Linked DNA regions of Arabidopsis thaliana. The protein of the gene in region 1 interacts with the protein of each later gene in a pairwise test. Each region holds a gene or a part of one and is shown on either strand. Other genes may lie near its edges. The genes, in order: MKK5, RACK1C_AT and RACK1B_AT.

Region 1 (6,714 bases):
AAACTTTAATCCCATAAAAAGAAAAAGAAAAATGAAAAGTTCTTCTAACATCCATATTTTGCATCATATCATAAAGATAAGAAAGATACATATCATAGACGTACAGATAAACAAACATATCATCATTTGTGAAATACATAGTACAATAATTTGCTTTTAAATAGAGTTTAAGTCACACACACTGACACACACGATAAAACGATAATGTCTGCAAAAACACTTTAATCCCATTGCCTAGAGGACAGCTTCTCCACTTTGTCTTTAAGGTTGGTTTTGCCGTGTTGTTTTTATCTTTATATAATGATCTATTTTTTGGATTATGAAATGAATTCACACATTTTAATTATTTAAGAAGATCCATATACAGGTTTATAACAGTACTAAGTGATGATTATTTTTTGTTTTTGCATAGTTTAGTTTATTGGGTAAACATTCATTACGTGTCTCTTTATACGAATCACCCATCCAAAATTTCAAGTAGTCTTTTAGTTCATTTATTATTTCATAACTATTTGACTTATTGATTTGACAAGAAACAACAAAAGTGTTGACTTATTGATAGATTGTGGGATCATAAAAGTAATTAAGCGTCAACCACGACCCACAACAACAAAGCACATGTTATACATTAATATCTCGTTTACTTAATTACAGTTTTCAGAATGCCGTTTCATGTCTTCGTCACTGGCGATGTTATTATCATGTTGGACAATATTCGACTGTTGTCGTTTTTACATTTTCGTATTGACTAAAACTAAAAAAACAAAACTCTGTTTCAGGGTTATGGAATGACCGAGTCCGGAACGGTAGCTAAGTCATTAGCGTTTGCAAAGAACCCATTTAAAACCAAGTCCGGTGCATGTGGGACTGTGATCAGAAACGCCGAGATGAAAGTGGTCGATACCGAAACCGGAATCTCCTTGCCGCGCAACAAATCTGGCGAGATCTGCGTCCGAGGTCATCAGCTCATGAAAGGTAAAAAGGGTCAAACGATCAAGCTATGTCCCTTCTTTTTTTTCCTTTGGGAGAATAAACATTGATAGGGAAAACATGGTGCAATGTTGTTAGGTTATTTGAATGATCCGGAAGCTACTGCACGAACCATAGACAAAGACGGGTGGTTACATACAGGAGATATTGGGTTTGTGGATGATGATGATGAGATCTTCATTGTTGATCGGTTGAAGGAACTGATCAAATTCAAAGGCTACCAAGTGGCTCCAGCTGAGCTTGAAGCATTGCTTATTTCTCATCCTTCTATCGATGATGCCGCAGTTGTTGCGTGAGTTCAAAACAAATCTGAAACTTCCAAACTGAGACACTAAAATGGTTGTTGTCTCTAATGATATTTGAATTTTCAGAATGAAGGATGAAGTAGCTGATGAGGTTCCAGTAGCATTTGTAGCAAGATCTCAAGGGTCTCAGTTAACTGAAGATGATGTCAAGAGTTACGTAAACAAACAGGTACGAATTCGCTTTCGGTTTTTCAATGCGAAACACACACAAGATGGAAAACTGTCTATGTCTTAAATCAATGGTGTGATGGTTTATATAGGTGGTTCACTACAAGCGGATTAAGATGGTGTTTTTCATAGAAGTTATACCAAAAGCAGTTTCGGGCAAGATTCTGAGGAAGGATCTGCGAGCTAAATTGGAAACCATGTGCTCTAAATAGACACAAGAGAGTTTCAAATGTATGTGTAAATTCGAACATTATAGTCTCTAAGAAGTAAGGAGTAAGAAGCAAGTATTTGGTATTTGATTTGGTTTTCACGAGATCAATCATGTAAAGTCAACAAATCTAGGAAACCTAAAGCTAAGCTACCCTCAGAAACATAAATTCATTTCCTATAATCATCATTTCACTATTTTCTTAAGAAGAATTATAAATTTAGAGAATTAAGGAACAGAAACATACCCACAAAAGCGACAATGAGAAGTGATTACGCTGGGTAGACTTATGTACTGGGACACACACTCAAAGTTATCCTCCTCTGCAAGCTGAATGCTTCAAGTATTCAGGTGAATCAATCAGCACAAACTTCAGCAAACCTGCAGAGAAAGACGTGGCCCAGCCGCCCAGCGGAAAGGTCTAATGTGGTTAGAAGTCAAGACCAATAGGACACTTGAGAGCTAGATTCCTAGCCATAAGGTAGACTTTTTTGAGTAGATGCTGAAGAACCTAGAATCTGACCTGGACAGTTGAGAGTTACATTCCTAATCACACTAAAACATCAAGGCAATTTGACGGATACTGAACACAAAACCATTGGGAGAGAGAGAGAGAGAGAGAGAGAGAGAACGAGAAGCAGAAACAAGGTGAATAGCTGATGTTTACATGCATGATGCATGCTCAAAGATGGAACCAAATGAAAGCTTTCTGAATTTGACCAATTGCAAGAGCATCACATGATTTCGTTCAAACAAAAGTTCCTAAACAAGCTTTCAACTTTTACCGCAATAATTAGACCATAACTGGCAAAGAAAAAATAACGCAGTAGGCACTAGGGTAGCCTTTGTAATGTTCACAAGACGGAAACTAGAAAACCATAAAGAGAATTAAAGGAAGAAGCTTTATTAATGAGAATTATCCAATGAAAGATCCTCCATTTACTTCCTTATATAAACAATAATATAAGCAAATCCAGCTAAAATCACTCTTAAACCATAAGAATTCTTCTTGTCTATTTTTTTGTTTCCATTTCTAGCAAAACATTCTTCATTACCCATAAGACAAATCAAGCTTAGCAGCATAAGATAAAGACTCAATAAACCCTAACCACAAACTGAGTTTCTTCCTGACGACTCATACCCCAATCACAAACCACATTGTTCTTCTACTCTTCTCATTATCTTTGCTTGGGGTATGCAAAACTTATGGAAAAATGTCAGGAAAAACTACGAAAAATTGAAAAACAAGAAAGACGAAAATGGTAGAAACACTAAGAGGCAGAAGGAAGAGGACGAGGCGGCGGCAACATTTGACGGAGATTAGGACCACCGGTAGCTTTAAGTATGAAAGGATGCTGCAAAAGCTGTTGAGCTGACCATCTCTTAGGAGGATCACTCTGTAAACAACAAGAAACAAAGTGACGAAACTCCTGAGACGCCGTAGCCGGAGCTTCAGGTGGCTGAGACATACAAATAGCACACATAAGACTAGCCCAATCACCTTGTCTACTCACAGCAAAAGGAAACCTCCCCAAGTAAAACTCCAAGATACTAACACCTAAACTCCAAACATCTCCAGCATAACCATCGTAACGACCATGATTCAAATCAGTATTAATCCTCTCAGGACTCATATAAGCAATAGTACCAACAGATGAATTACAAGGATCCATTGTTTGTGCCAAGATCCTACTCACACCAAAATCAGCAATTTTCACATTTTTAGCTGAGTTTATAAGAAGATTCGAAGGTTTGATATCACGATGAACGATATGACGACGATGAAGATAAGCTAATCCACTAAGAATCTGACGAGAGAGATCAGCTAATTCCTGTTCTTGCCATATATGAGCTCCTTCAAGAGATCCTTGATCCATAAACTCAAGCAAAACCTGGATCTCACCGTTATGATCAAACATATCGTGACATTTCACAACGTTTGGATGATCAACACTTCTTAAGATCTCGATCTCTCTACAGATCTGACGTCTCACGGTATCTTCGTGGTTTCCGTAAATCACTTTGAGAGCGAAAGGACGTGACGTCGGAGTGTGGATTACTTTGTAAACCGTTCCTCCGGCTCCGCTTCCGATTCGGTTCACTCGTTCTAGCTCGGATAAGCTTTTAGCGGCGGAGATGTTGGTTGAGATCGCGGAGGAAGACGCCGGAGCGGATGAAGAGGAAGAAGGAGGTGGGAGAGGGAGAGGTACGGCGAGAGCGACGTCGCGGTGTGGGAGTGGTAAGCTTAGGTCAGGACGTTTGCGTAAACGGTTCTTCATAGGTGAAGCTACTCCAGAAGGAGATTGAATCGGTTTCATGGCTTTTAGAAGAAGAGGGAATCAAAAGTTTTTTTTTTTTTTCACAAGGTTGATTCTTTATCTTCCAGGTTTGTATTTATCATCATGATTGACTTGACTCTAGGGTTTGTTTGATTCGTCGTTTTTCAAAGAGATCAAATCAAGAGGAGAATGAAGCTTCATCGAAGAGATTTGTGAAAATGATTGTAAGAAACAAGAAAAAAAAAAAAAGTTAAAATGGTAAGACGAAGGTACGCGTTGATGGAAAGAGCGTGGAATACACTCGCACTTGTGTGGCTCTGTGTTGTTACACGTTAACCATGTTTTTTGTTTGGTCGGGTCTGAATTGGATTATAATATCATTAAGAGTGTTTAAGATCGTGGATTTAGATACTATAAATTTGGTGTTAGGTATTTAATATTTTTAGAAAGTAAGAAAATACAGATTAAAGTTTCTTTCCAATAAAAACAATTGAAAAAAGAAAAACTTAAAGTAATTATAATTCTAAAAAAATTAAAAACTAATTTTCTTTTTAAAGTTTTTAACAGAAAAAGAAAGAAATAAAATTAAAGTGGTACAGTGTTCACGTGCGATGCATGTGACTTAAAAAATAAGTTTGCCTTCTTTGCCGTCAATTCTTCCGCAGAAGTTTTTTCGAACAATCAATCTCTGACTCTCTGAGTAATTAGGTTTTTTTTTTATCTCATGGCCGGCGCCGGAATCCACCCATACCACCAGCAGTGGCCGCCGGCAGGTGCGCCGCCTCCTCCAGCCGCAGTATCATCAGCTGCTCCACCACATCCGCCGCCCATTCATCACCATCCTCCTCCTCCTCCTGTTTTAGTTGACAACCATAATCGTCCTCCTTATGACGAGGTTCAACTCTTTCTCTTTCTCTCTATACATATCGGTGATTCTTGTGCTGTGTTGTCGAGATGGGCTTGCTTGATTTTTGTTTACGTTGAGGTTTTAATTTGCCTGCTTTTTGATATACAATGTTAGCTTGATTTTGCTACGGAATCGATAAATTGTCCAAAGTTATGACCTTTTTGATAAGAATGATTTTTAAGTTTGTTACTAAAATCTCACTTATGACCTGTTGCATAAGTGAGAAAGGTTCTCTTATCTTGTCATGTAGTTGGAGTTTTCTGATTTTGGGAAAACGTGATCTCTTACACAAGTTTGAATCTGTTGTTCAGCTGCGGACAATCTTCATCGCAGGGCTTCCCGATGATGTAAAAGAGAGAGAGCTTTTGAATCTCTTGAGATGGTTGCCTGGTTACGAGGCTTCTCAGGTGAACTTCAAGGGAGAAAAGCCCATGGGGTTTGCTCTTTTCTCCACAGCTCAGTTTGCAATGGCAGCCAAAGATACCCTTCAGGTCTGTCTGCTTCTGATCATTGTTGACTCAGATCCTTTTTTGTCTTCACATTATGACATATGTTGTTCTTGGCATGCAGCATATGGTGTTTGATGCTGAGTCAAAGTCTGTGATACATACAGAGATGGCCAAGAAGAATCTTTTTGTTAAAAGAGGTTAGCTCTACCTTTATGACATAAAATGGCTGTATTTTATCTATCTTAAGCATTAGTCATGTTACTGAAGCATGTTTGATACAGTTTTGTGCATTTATACGGGGTCTCACTACACTCTCCCCTTTATCTAGTTTCTTACTTCCTTTGTTAATATCACAAACCATATATAACCTTTGAACTCAATCTTTATTCTGTAGGTATTGTTGGGGATTCAAATGCTTATGATCAAAGTAAGCGCCTACGAACTGGTGGTGACTGCACACACTCTGTGTATAGTCCATCTCCTTTCCATCCTCCACCTCCTCCTGTGTGGGGACCTCCTCATGGGTTAGGCATTTGCTTCTCCTTCATATTTCATATGCTGTGTAGAAATTGGACGATGTGTATTTGGTACACCGTTTTATGTTAAGTTGCTTATTTGACAAGAAGATAAATTGGTTCAGATATATGGCACCTGCACCTCCACCATATGATCCCTATGCAGGTTATCATGCTCCCCCTGTACCAATGCCTACGCCCCCACCTATAGCAGCTCCTAGTTCTTATGTGCCTGTCCAGGTGAAGTTGCACTGTTTTCATCATTTTATTTATCATATGGTGGTTGTGCAATTATATACCCGGAATCCATATTGTACTTGCCTCTCCTTGCCTAAAAATTACAATCTCGAACTTCATTCTAATTAGCTTACATGCTATACTCTCTGGTGGTTGTGTTGTGGAACAATAGTTGTTGCCTAATTTAAATGCATTGTCTACTGCTCTGAATTTGCTAAAGTTTCTGATTGTTTGATAAATTTTGTACCTAGTTTGATGAATATCTAGCCTAGGTTTGGTGATCTGATATATGTCTCATGTTGTTTTCAAATTTTTTTCAATTGCAGAATATTAAGGATAATCCACCTTGCAATACCCTATTTATTGGTAATCTTGGGGAGAATATAAACGAAGAAGAATTGAGGAGCCTGTTGAGTGCGTGAGTATCTGTTCCCTTTAGTGAGACTCCTGTCCATTGCTTTCCTTGAGATCTTGGCCTTTTTGTAGACCTGTGTTCTCAAGAATTCTGCGGTAAACTGTACTTTCATTTTGCAGGCAACCTGGTTTCAAACAAATGAAGATTCTGAGACAAGAAAGGCATACAGTTTGCTTTATTGAATTCGAGGTTAACTCTGAGACCTTCACCATCTGTGTATATGTGACAGAAAATATTCTTC
Region 2 (5,753 bases), 1.2 Mb from region 1:
CCCCTGCAGAAACCGCCATTAATGTCTTCTTCTCTCAGCTTCATAAATTTCGTTGTACCGTTAAAAGATGAGAAGCGAGTGAAAGAGAAGAGTGATCTTTTAAGGTTCCTGAGAAAGTGAGAAACAAACTCCTTGCCGTCTAAGATTTTTACCAACAAACACCTTGCTGTTTTTAACTGTGACAAGGATTTTATGAAGCGAGACGAAAGTTGCGTTATAAGACCAATTTTAAAGATGAAGAATATAAAATGCAACCAAAATCCGTGACCTTTTGATAGAGTGTATGATGATAATTAAACAAAATTTGACAAAATACAAGATTTACATGAGAGCCAGTTTGGAAAAATTGGATAAACTAAAAGCAGCGACAATGTTGAGAGAGTTCCTCAGCTTAAAGTTGTGGCCATTTGATTTGCGCTAGACTTGGAACATAAGAACAGATACGTGGGTGATAAAGGCTATGTAGCGCTCCCGCGTCTCTGTGTCTTTATCCAAAAACACGACAACTTTCTTCTCCTCGTCAACAAAGAAATTCCCAGCGGCAACCTGAAACTGCAAACCAGTTAGTGGTTCCATACCCACCGCTAAGAACAACTTGCTCCACGACGCTGTTTCGGGCTCAATCTTAGTCGTAATCCATATCTCCATCTGTAATGTATCATCTCTCTCAAATAACACTGTAAGTTGCTCATCTCTAACACTAGATAGAGTCACAGTATCTTCATTAAAAGAGTGAAACGGTAGACTTAGAGGGGGTCCAAATATCTCTCTTGTAAAATCATAACAGAGTAAGAACTCAGGGAGATGCTTTTGTTGAGTATTTCCCTTGAGAGACACGCCACGTGCAGAAAACTGTATCTCCCAGTTCGCAGAGTTAATGTTAGGGATAGTAATATTCATCCGTGGTTTAGAGGAGTTGAGGACTTGAGGTAGTAGAGTTCATACTGTACGTATCCGTAACAAGGTTCACTAAATCCCTTGGAAGATTGGCCATCATCATCTCAAGGATCATAAATAAGTTAGGTTAATGCTTCAGAAGATACTCTCCTCTGCTTCCGGTGGTTACAAATTTGAAGACAAAGAAACCCACCCTAACTGAATTGGGCCAATCATGGGCTTTAGAAATCTAATAGGCTTGTAATGTGGCCGGTGAAAGAGATAAGAGTGATATATTATAGGGATGAATTGTGAAGATTGAACCTCAATAAGACCAATCGGAAGATCACGAAGGTAAGTGTAATCAAAATCGTGACCTTTTGATATATAGTGATATGATAATCAATGGATTGTTTTTTTCTCTTCTGGAAATTAAACAAAAATTGCCAAAATAGAGGTTTGCGAGAGACTAATACAATACTGACGCAGTCTGGAAAAATTAAAAGCAGCTAAACTTTTTTCCGGAGATTTCGTGACTTCTTCTTCATCTTGTTGTGTCTCTAGTAACGACCAATACCCCAGACCCTGACAACTCCATCAGTGTAACCACTGAACAATGTGCTTCCATCTGCACTCCAGTTCAAGCTTGTGCAGTAGATAACCTGCATTTTCATTACACATTCCCATTAGATACCATTATCAATCTCTTCCTATATGTTAACATCAAAGTCAAAACCTTTGGAGCAGAGCAACATTTAAAGAATAAAATTCCTAGTTTCAAAGCTAATGGGTAAGGGAAAAGATTTCCTACATGCAATTTCTAACCAAAATTTCACTTTTTTTTTGTCATAACCAAAGATAATTTCATCACTACTTTTGGTGCATTCACTAACCTATCAATAGAGAACCAATTACTATAGTGAAATCATAAGATAATGACGTACCTTCTTCTGGTTACCAGTTCCAACACCACCTTCATTCTTCTCTGCCTCAGACTTGAGATCAACCTTCAAGTCCTCAACAACAGACTTGCTCTCAAGATCCCAAATCCTAATGCTATTCTCAGTAGCAGCACACAACCAGTATCTGTTAGGACTGAAGCAAAGCGAGTGAATAATCGAACCCGCCTCAAGCGAGTAAAGCTTCTTTCCTTCAGCCAAATCCCACAACAAGATAACACCATCTTTCCCACCACTGGCGCATAGCGAACCATCAGGCGAGACAGCAACAGTGTTGAGGTAACCAGAGTGACCAACAAGAGAGTTCCTCAGCTTACAGTTCTGGAGATTCCAAACTTTCACAGTTTTATCCCAAGAAGCAGATACAATAGTTGGTACAAGAGTATTAGGACTAAACCTAACACAACTAACCCATTCCTTGTGACCATCACCTTCAGAGATGGTATACTTACACTCACCAAGTGTGTTCCAAAGCTTAATCGTACGATCACGAGAAGCAGACACGATCTGCCGGTTATCAGTAGAGAATGCAACAGAGAGCACATCTTTCGTATGACCAACGAATCGACGAGTTGTTTCTCCCGTGGCAAGATCCCAGAGACGGAGCTCACCGTCCCAGCTTCCGGAGAGTGCAAACTGACCGTCCGATGAGAGAACAACATCTTCCACGAAGTGAGAGTGACCTGTGAGCCTACGCTGAGCAACACCGTAAGACTTATCGTCCTTTGTGAGTTTCCAGAGGATGATGGATTTGTCACGCGACGCTGTGACGATGATGTCGGAATTGTCGATCGGCGTAGCGATGGCCGTGACAATGTCGGTGTGGGCGCGCATAATGCCCTTCAATACGAGTCCCTCGGCCATGGTTTGAGGTTTTCGGGTTTCTTCTTCTTACTCACGAAAATGGCGTAACAGAGCGAGAGATTACGAGGTCGATTGAAATGTTTGGTATTTATACTCTAGGTCTAAAAATGAATCAAATTAGGGTTTAGTGTGGTTTCTGCGAGGAGACTGGCTCATTTGGGCCGGAGTTTCCGAGTCAGGTATAAATGGGCCTCTTCTGAAATAAATTTTGTTGGAGCATTTTTGTTGTGATATAGTTGAGAAATGTTTGATCAGAGAGGGAACATAAGAGCAATTTGAACGAATTCGATTGAAATGTACAAGAGTTTACTAAAACACAAATAACACAATCGTAGTTTGTTCATAATTTAGCTTTGATTCTTATTAAGGTTTTAATCGTGAAGTGCACAGCACACAGTGGCTTTGTGATGACCTTGGTACACTTTCACTTCTTTGCCTGCTGGCATCGACCACAATCTAGCCGTCATGTCCGATGATGCTGTACAACATCATAGAAACCCGTTTAAAGATTGTTCTGATATGTTTTTCAGTGGTTTAAGTTAAGACAGAGATTAGTACCTGTTACAAGAAATTCTCCATCCACTGAGAAGACGCAGTCCCAAACCCATCTTTGATGTCCTGTTATATAAGATTTGATGATAGTGTAAGAGACGATAATGGAGAATGAATGCTGTTGACAGTAACATGGAGAACATACCTGTTAAAACTTTCTCTAGTTTAAAACCATCGACGTTCCATATTTTGACAGTTTTATCAGATGATGCAGTCGCTAGATATCTGCTAACAAATATGTAAGAGCTTCGAAAAGGAGAGGATGAAGAAAACGGTTAAAAGAGAAAGTATAAGAAACATGTTACTTGTTTGCAGGAGAGAGGAGACATTTAAGGATGTGGCCATTATGAGCTTGCAGCTTATGAAGGGGCTCAAACTCTGTCATTGTCTGTAAAAGATTTTGAATTTTTAAATGGCATGGACAATTAGAGTAATGCGACTACAACATGGTTAAACAAAAGAAAGGTTTGCATATCAGGAACACTACCTGTTTTCCACGCAACAAGCGCCATACATAACATGTTCCACGGTTGTTAGCAGCGACTACCATTGTCCCATCCCACATAACAGTTAAAGACCGTACAGCTGTATCAACTTCTGGTACCTATAGTTAACCTCAAGTGATTATCTACGGATTTTCAGAAATGAAATGAAGACGTGTCAAAGGCAATTACCAGTTCACAGCTACACGAATTTGCTCTGAGATCCCATACACGTATATTTCCATTTTGGTCTCCAGATATCAATTCAGTCTGTACAAAAAAAAAAAACAAAGTTCATAATAAAGACTAAGGAAATAGTTCATAATAACAGCTGAGACAACTACCAAAATCACAGCAGTTTCAACAGTAGCAATACAACAACTCTCTTAAACATAAAACGAAGCTGATTCCCACAGCACAACAATAACAGATGACTTCATGTACCTGATTTGGGTGTAAAACAACTGTATTAACCGCTGCAACACTTTCATACTCCTTTTGGCAACCCGGAGCCCTGCATTTTGGTTTACGAGTCAACAAGAATACAATTTAGAACGTTCTTAGTATTTTTCGTAACTTTATATTCAATATCTCCTTATCCTTTCCCAGAATCCACACTTGAATAAATCTATAAACTTTTAGCTAAAGATGAAGATGACATGATATACCTTAAGTCCCAGATCTTAACTGTGCCATCTTCTGATCCTGAATACATCCATTTTGCATCACATTGAAATCCTACTGCCATAACATTGTTGGTGTGTGAATCGTAAGTCATCACCTAATACACACGACGACTCCATCAAGATCACTCAAGCAGGTAGAAGGAAGCAAACACCACATTGAGAAAAAAAGAGAGGAGTTTTACAGGTTGAGGACTATTGGAATTGACATCAAAGAGTCGAATATGAGGATTGCAAGCTGCAGCTAGATAATGCTTATCTGGGGTTATCTCAAGCCTATTTACATGCTGCAATTACAAACATTAATTTGTCTCAGTTTTATTAATTACTCAGAATTCACAAAATCAAGGGAGAGAGAGAGAGAAACAAACCGAATCAGGATACTGAATGGTACGGTAACAGCGACCAGTTTCGGCTTCCCAGAATCGGATGGTGTGATCATAGCTAGCCGTAGCAAGAATCACAGAAGGCTGACTCATTTTCGATCGATTTTATCCCGATTGAAATATTAAACCAACCATTTCGTGATTTTTGCTGATTCCCAGAAAACAAACAAACCCCCTTTTCGAAATAATCAACAGAAGAACAAGCTAGGGTTTGGTGATTGAGGATCAAAAAACAGGGGAAAGAAAAAGGTGCAGAGAACTGTAAATTGAAGAGAAGAAGAAAAATAGGGTTTTTACCAAGCTTTTCTCATAATTAATTAACGCGGGGAGGTTTTAGTATAAATATATATCTATTGGGGTTTATTTAAATATACGAAAATAAGTAAAGGGCTATTTTGTTATTTATGAAAAGTAATAAGAAAATATAAAGAACAACTATTTGTTCACTACTTCACTGACAGACATAACGGCTGAGACTCCTTGGAAGCTTTTAGAGACGGCAACAATGGCGGCTACGAAAGCTCTGGAATTTGTTTTGCCGACGGGCTTCTTCATCCAGCCGTCATTGAACCGTCGCGGAGGAGTTAGGCTCTCCGTCGTCAAGTGTTCCATTTCTTCAGTCACCTCTACAGGCACCGCATCTGGTAACGCTCGCCGATTTCCCCATTTCCGTATTTTCACAGCTTGATTTTTTCCCAGAACTTTAGATTCGAATTGGCTTTCGATTCAAATGTTATGTATATATATGATTTTTTCAGATTACTTGTAGGCTCTTGATTCGTGCCTTAATCATCGTTTTGGTTATTGTTTCTTTTAGTTTGGATGAGCTGAAAATGTGTGTGAATGTTGAAATGTGATTCAAACAAGAGTAAAGAGGGGAGTTAATGTGTGTTAAGACACATTTGTCAGTTTTGGTTTTACAATAAATTTGGGGGTTTTTATTTTTATGTT
Region 3 (5,483 bases), on another chromosome or scaffold:
ATCGGGTTTAATGACAATCGCAAAACAATCAACATCATTGGCGAGGCGGGGTACTTTAGAGAATTGGATCTTGGAGAACATGCAGAACCATATCGTAGGCGACATGTTTTCTCTTATGTTCCAAGTTCGGTCCAAATCAAGGAAACTGCACCAGGGAACATAAAAAAACATCAAAGCAGTATAGAAACACGTCTATTTGATCGAAACATGTTGAGACTTGTCGCATTTGAGAAGAAAGTATCCGAGTAACCAATATGAGGTAGATTAGCCTAATTTGTTAACAAAACAGAATATAATAAAGTCTATATTTCTTTTTCTCAAATTTGCAAAGCCTAAATTAGTGCAAAAGGTTGTATTATATCATCTAATGACGATAGAAATAGTTTTGCTGCGGTTTCTCTAAATCATGCAGAGCTAAACGATCTATAGTTTTAGTAGTTTGATGTTCCATTCTTGATCAACCTTAGCTTATTTGGACTACAAAAAAAAGCATGATATAAAATGGACATGTTGTCGAAGCCTACGGAGCCTAATTAAGATCTTGTTATATACGTGGACTTGGGTATTGGGTGTAGAATATCTAAAAGATAAGAAATATGAAAAATTTTACAGAGCAATTAAGCATTGCTTTGTTGAGCGGCTTATGATGCTGAAACATGTCATAGGGGGTCTTGGTTTCTTCGGAAAAGCAGTGAAAACAATCTTGATTGCACTTTTGATTATTGACTATTGACTCGTGCATGGTTTACCTCATTTGGTGTTTTTGAGCATGAAGAAGTTCTCAAGTTTCAACCTTTGGCTACACACAAAATTAATGCTAATAAGACCCATTTATCAGAGACTCTGTGCCGTATGGAGGTAAGCGTCTGGGTCAAGAACTATTCTATATGGGCTATATTCGGTTCATGTTAACTGAGAATTCGTATAACATATGGCCTTGTCGCCTACACTTTAGACTACTCTTAGTTTTGGTAGAGTAAGAGATGGAAAACCAAATATCATTAAGTACAAAAAGATAAACTGGTTGGTGCATTGGTGTTTAGAGATTCTTTTGAAAGGGTTCGTGTTGTAGTTAAGATGTAACCACTGGAAAAGTAAAGGCTAATAACTCCTTGAAGTTTTCAGATTCCTAAGAAAAAATTCTTGCTGTTATACAGTTAGTCATCAACCTAAAGCCATTTCTACTTTCTAGAGGATACAAGTAACAACTTCAAATCAGATTCTACGCCGTGTACTCAGACTCAGTGTAAGAAAACAAATATGAAACAAAATCAATGTATCAAAATATCACATTTGTGGATTCTGAAAATAGAAAAGAACAAAAAATAAATCCTCAAAACACTAATTCAGAAGAGAAGACTTTAGAGTCGATGGAAAAATTTGGAGAGAATAAAGAAACTTCTTGTCTCTCTAGTAACGACCAATACCCCAAACCCTGATAACTCCATCAGTGTATCCACTGAACAAAGTGTTTCCATCTGCACTCCAGTTCAAGCTTGTGCAGTAGATCACCTGCATTTTACATTCCACATTAGAACATATATAAACCACCTCAGACCAAAGAGTAACCAACAAATCAATATGGAATCACTTCAGACACTACAATCTAAGAAATCAGAGACTAGAGCTAACTTAAAACCAGGTTTCTCAATCTAATGTTAGCTACTCTCTTACGTACCAATCAAATCTTGTGAACTAACTTCACATGAGAGTATTCAGACCTTCCTTTATGAAAATCTCATCTTTTAAGGCAACGGCTAACTAATTCACAGAACTTAGAACTAGACAATTAACCATAAGATAGAGTGAGGAGAAATAGATACCTTGGTCTTGTTTCCGATTCCAGTAGAACCATCAGTCTTTTCAGCCTCAGCCTTAAGATCAACCTTCAAATCCTCAACAACAGACTTACTCTCGAGATCCCAAATCCTAATGCTATTCTCTGTTGCTGCACACAACCAGTACCTATTGGGACTGAAGCAAAGTGAATGAATAATAGAGCCAGCTTCAAGAGAATACAACTTCTTCCCTTCAGCCAAATCCCAAAGCAAGATCACACCATCTTTGCCACCACTGGCACACAACGAACCATCAGGTGACACAGCCACAGTGTTCAAGTAACCAGAGTGACCAGCAAGAGTGTTCCTAAGCTTACAATTCTGAAGATTCCAGACCTTCACAGTTTTATCCCAAGAAGCAGATACAATAGTTGGCACAAGAGTATTAGGACTAAACCTAACACAACTAACCCATTCCTTGTGACCATCAGCTTCAGAGATGGTATACTTACACTCACCAAGCGTGTTCCAAAGCTTAATCGTACGATCACGAGAAGCAGAGACGATCTGACGGTTATCGGTAGAGAAAGCAACAGAGAGAACATCTTTCGTGTGACCAACGAAACGACGAGTAGATTCTCCGGTAGCGAGATCCCAGAGACGAAGCTCACCGTCCCAAGATCCGGAGAGAGCGAATTGTCCATCGGAGGAGAGAACAACGTCTTGAACGAAGTGAGAGTGACCAGTCATCCTCCGCTGAGCAACACCGTATGACTTGTCTTCCTTTGTGAGTTTCCAGAGGATGATTGATTTGTCACGCGACGAAGTTACAATCACGTCGGAGTTATCGACCGGTGTAGCAATGGCGGTGACCATATCAGTGTGGGCACACATTGTGCCTTTCAACACGAGTCCTTCAGCCATGGTTCAGGGTTTGAGGTCGAGATTTAGGGTTTCGGCGACAAAAATGGGAGAGGGCAAAATGGAGGTAACGAGAAACCGAGAGTATTTATAGTTAGAGATAATTAGGGTTCTTTGTTTTCATTTGTCAATAGTTTGGGTCTCTTCATTTGGGCCAGCATTAAGGCCCGGTATTCTACCCAACTTGGTTTCATGTTGGGACAATTATGGAACCGAGATTTATATCTTTCTGTTTGGAACGCTTAACCAGAATTGGTATAGCTTGTTACAAGTCAATTTGATAACCACATGAGTACATGACATGACAACTTTTTTTTCTCTCTTTTGGGCAAACCCCATGAGAACTCTACCGAGAAGTTATTGTCAAAAATTGAAATAGACTCAAAAGTCGGTTCAATTAAAGTAAACAAACCGAGTTTGGCCATTTCAACTTTTATTGTAAGAACTAAGAACACAACTTCGACTGTCCCTGTGGAAGATATAATTTTACATGTCCGAATTCCGGAGAAGAAAAAGATGAAGTGATTGATTAAATTGAAATCGATCACATCAACCATCTCTTTCTCTCGCCTGCAAAGTTATCTCCTTTTCAAACCGAACGAATCAATTCGGGAATCTTCATCTTTCTACGTGTTTTCTCAGCTATGTATCTCTGGGTTCGACTTCAGTAAAAGCTTCACCAGCCATGGATTTCGTTAGGTTCTTGTTCGCTTCATCTTTCTTTGTAATTGCTTACTGTTTTCGTGAAAATTCGAAATTTAGTGTTTTGCGTTCTCTATCTCTCTCTCTCTAGCACACTAATTCCAATTCCTTAGGAAGGGTTTTTGGTGAATAAAGTTAGGGTTTTTAATTGATTCAATACCTTGTGGAATAAATTAGGGGTTTTTGGAGGAAGCATAGAAGGAAGGTCTTGGTGACGGCTGGTTGTTTGGGAAGTGGGTATTTACTCTACAAACTATACAATTCCCATACTCGTAGGCTTGCTGATTTGGAACGAGAACTCGCTCACGAGCGTGAAAATGACGAAATCATCAAAACCCAGTTAAGTTCTGTGCTCATAAAAACTGATCCTTTAGACTTCAGTTCTTATGGATTCTCTAACGGACCTGTCTTGTTTGTACTCTTGTTTAGAATGAAAGCACATTTCGAGAGTATTCAGATGATTGTGGATTCGACCACACTGCCTCACGCAATGCAGTTTTTGAGTATCCGTATCAGCGAGGAGATCGATGTCTCTCATGTTATGGACAGACTGAACCAAGGGAAAGGAATGCTGAGTCCACCTGAGAAACTTCAGCTCTGGGATGAGCTCAAGATTTTGAGTATGCACTGCAGTCACCTACTCTTACTCTATCAAATTCTGTTTCTTACCTGTATATTCATGTTATTTGCCAGGTTTCACGAGGATGGTTTTGTCTCTGTGGTCTGTGACAATGCTTAGCTTATACATTAGGGTTCAAGTCAACATTTTAGGCAGACATTTGTATGTTGACACCGCTCGAGCTCTTGGCAGCTCTCATTTACTTGTAAGATAATATGCTTCCCCTCTTCTCTGTATTGGAGAATTTGCTGTTTATTAAACGATACTGCACATGTTCTTTACTGCTCTCATTTGCTCGCAAGTATGATTCAGTGTACTTTGCTTATCTCATCCCCAACAAGCTATTTCTCGGGGAAACTCACTGGTTGTTCTGTTAAGAACTTGTATAATTATGTCTCTAGTAGCTGTGTTTAATTGCGATAACGATTATGCATTTGACCTATCTGTGGACTAATACTCTGGAATCACCTATCTTTCTTTGATATAGTTCCAGATTACCTTTTAAAGCCACGGCCGCTTGTCCTGTGATCTGCTTGCCCTGTGAGCTTTCAACAGTGTATCTATTAAATTTGTTTCTTTTTGTTTGCAGGAAGAGGTAGATCTCATTGATAGAGATGATGAACAGAAGTTTTTGTCGAGTGCTGATTTTCTTGTCACCAATGCAATGCCAAGTTTGATTTCAGATATGCAGGGTTCAGCCGAGGAAGTCCTTAAAGGGTACATTGCAAAAATTCGTATCTAGATCGTTTATAATTTGACTATTGTTGGAAAAACTCTAATATGTTTTTGTGTGTTTAATTGCAGAAAGCAGTTAAAGGATGTAATTACCACAAGAGTTCTTCAAGAAACCGTGATGCAGATTGTAGATGTGTTTATGAGCACTGGAAGCCCACATCACTGGGTTGATTATTTAATGATGCCTCAAGACACAAAGCTTTCAAGAACCACAAGTGACTCTTCTGATGAAGCTGTGTCCAAGTTTCATCAACTCATGGTTGAGACTCGAGAAGTACTCATCAGGTAAGTAATGTCTATCTGCTAAGATAAACACACAATTTTTCCTCTTTCTTACACTCTTGGATGATTGTGGGGAATAAACTTATCTCTTGGTGTCTTTCTTGTTGCAGCACTGAATTCACAAATATAGTCGAAATTTCGCTCAAGTGCTTCACGGATGTGTTGGTAGAGGAAATGGAAACGCAGACTGAAGCAGGCGGTTTGGCTACAGGGAAACCATTGGCAAAGGTCTTACCACAGATTGAGAAGACAATGAATGTGATTACAGCTGAACCAAGCAAGAACCGGTTCTTACAAATCATCAGAGATCTGCCTGAAGTTAAACTCTTTTTTACTCTTTTATACGCTAATATGCCGCAATAGCAACTTTTGTTTGTTCTCTTAGAAATTCCCCAAAGTGTTTTGCTATTTGCTTTCTTTGTAGGGGGGTCTTTTAGCTTGAAAGA

The links.
Region 2: the proteins of MKK5 (region 1) and RACK1C_AT come close enough for resonance energy transfer, tested with the Arabidopsis thaliana proteins (one study listed by BioGRID).
Region 3: the proteins of MKK5 (region 1) and RACK1B_AT come close enough for resonance energy transfer, tested with the Arabidopsis thaliana proteins (one study listed by BioGRID).

The regions. Positions count from the first base shown.
Region 1 is NC_003074.8:7,443,192-7,449,905, reverse strand, and holds MKK5 (MAP kinase kinase 5), read right to left. Parts: upstream 4,303-6,714; 5' UTR 3,990-4,302; coding exon 2,943-3,989; 3' UTR 1,919-2,942; intron 1,867-1,918; downstream 1-1,866. Other genes in the region: 4CL5 (4-coumarate:CoA ligase 5), read left to right, coding at 780-975, 1,069-1,282, 1,362-1,464, 1,556-1,675; AT3G21215 (RNA-binding (RRM/RBD/RNP motifs) family protein), read left to right, coding at 4,675-4,845, 5,169-5,348, 5,428-5,503, 5,701-5,830, 5,947-6,061, 6,385-6,476, 6,593-6,662. UniProt on the Arabidopsis thaliana protein: Mitogen-activated protein kinase kinase (MAPKK) which regulates abscisic acid (ABA) responses in a MAPKKK20-MKK5-MPK6 cascade involved in root growth (e.g. root cell division and elongation) and stomatal response, probably via MAPK6 activation by protein phosphorylation.
Region 2 is NC_003074.8:6,209,673-6,215,425, forward strand, and holds RACK1C_AT (receptor for activated C kinase 1C), read right to left. Parts: upstream 2,880-5,753; 5' UTR 2,700-2,879; coding exon 1,821-2,699; intron 1,539-1,820; coding exon 1,437-1,538; 3' UTR 1,206-1,436; downstream 1-1,205. Other genes in the region: EMB1270 (Pentatricopeptide repeat (PPR) superfamily protein), read right to left, coding at 1-19; AT3G18120 (F-box associated ubiquitination effector family protein), read right to left, coding at 418-900; LST8-1 (Transducin/WD40 repeat-like superfamily protein), read right to left, coding at 3,071-3,177, 3,258-3,317, 3,397-3,476, 3,557-3,639, 3,739-3,855, 3,926-4,003, 4,178-4,247, 4,402-4,514 and 2 more. UniProt on the Arabidopsis thaliana protein: Minor component of the RACK1 regulatory proteins that play a role in multiple signal transduction pathways. Involved in multiple hormone responses and developmental processes.
Region 3 is NC_003070.9:17,980,567-17,986,049, forward strand, and holds RACK1B_AT (receptor for activated C kinase 1B), read right to left. Parts: upstream 2,812-5,483; 5' UTR 2,703-2,811; coding exon 1,824-2,702; intron 1,513-1,823; coding exon 1,411-1,512; 3' UTR 1,070-1,410; downstream 1-1,069. Other genes in the region: PEX3 (peroxin 3), read left to right, coding at 3,385-3,398, 3,579-3,740, 3,831-4,021, 4,095-4,225, 4,333-4,403, 4,508-4,544, 4,610-4,737, 4,825-5,040 and 1 more.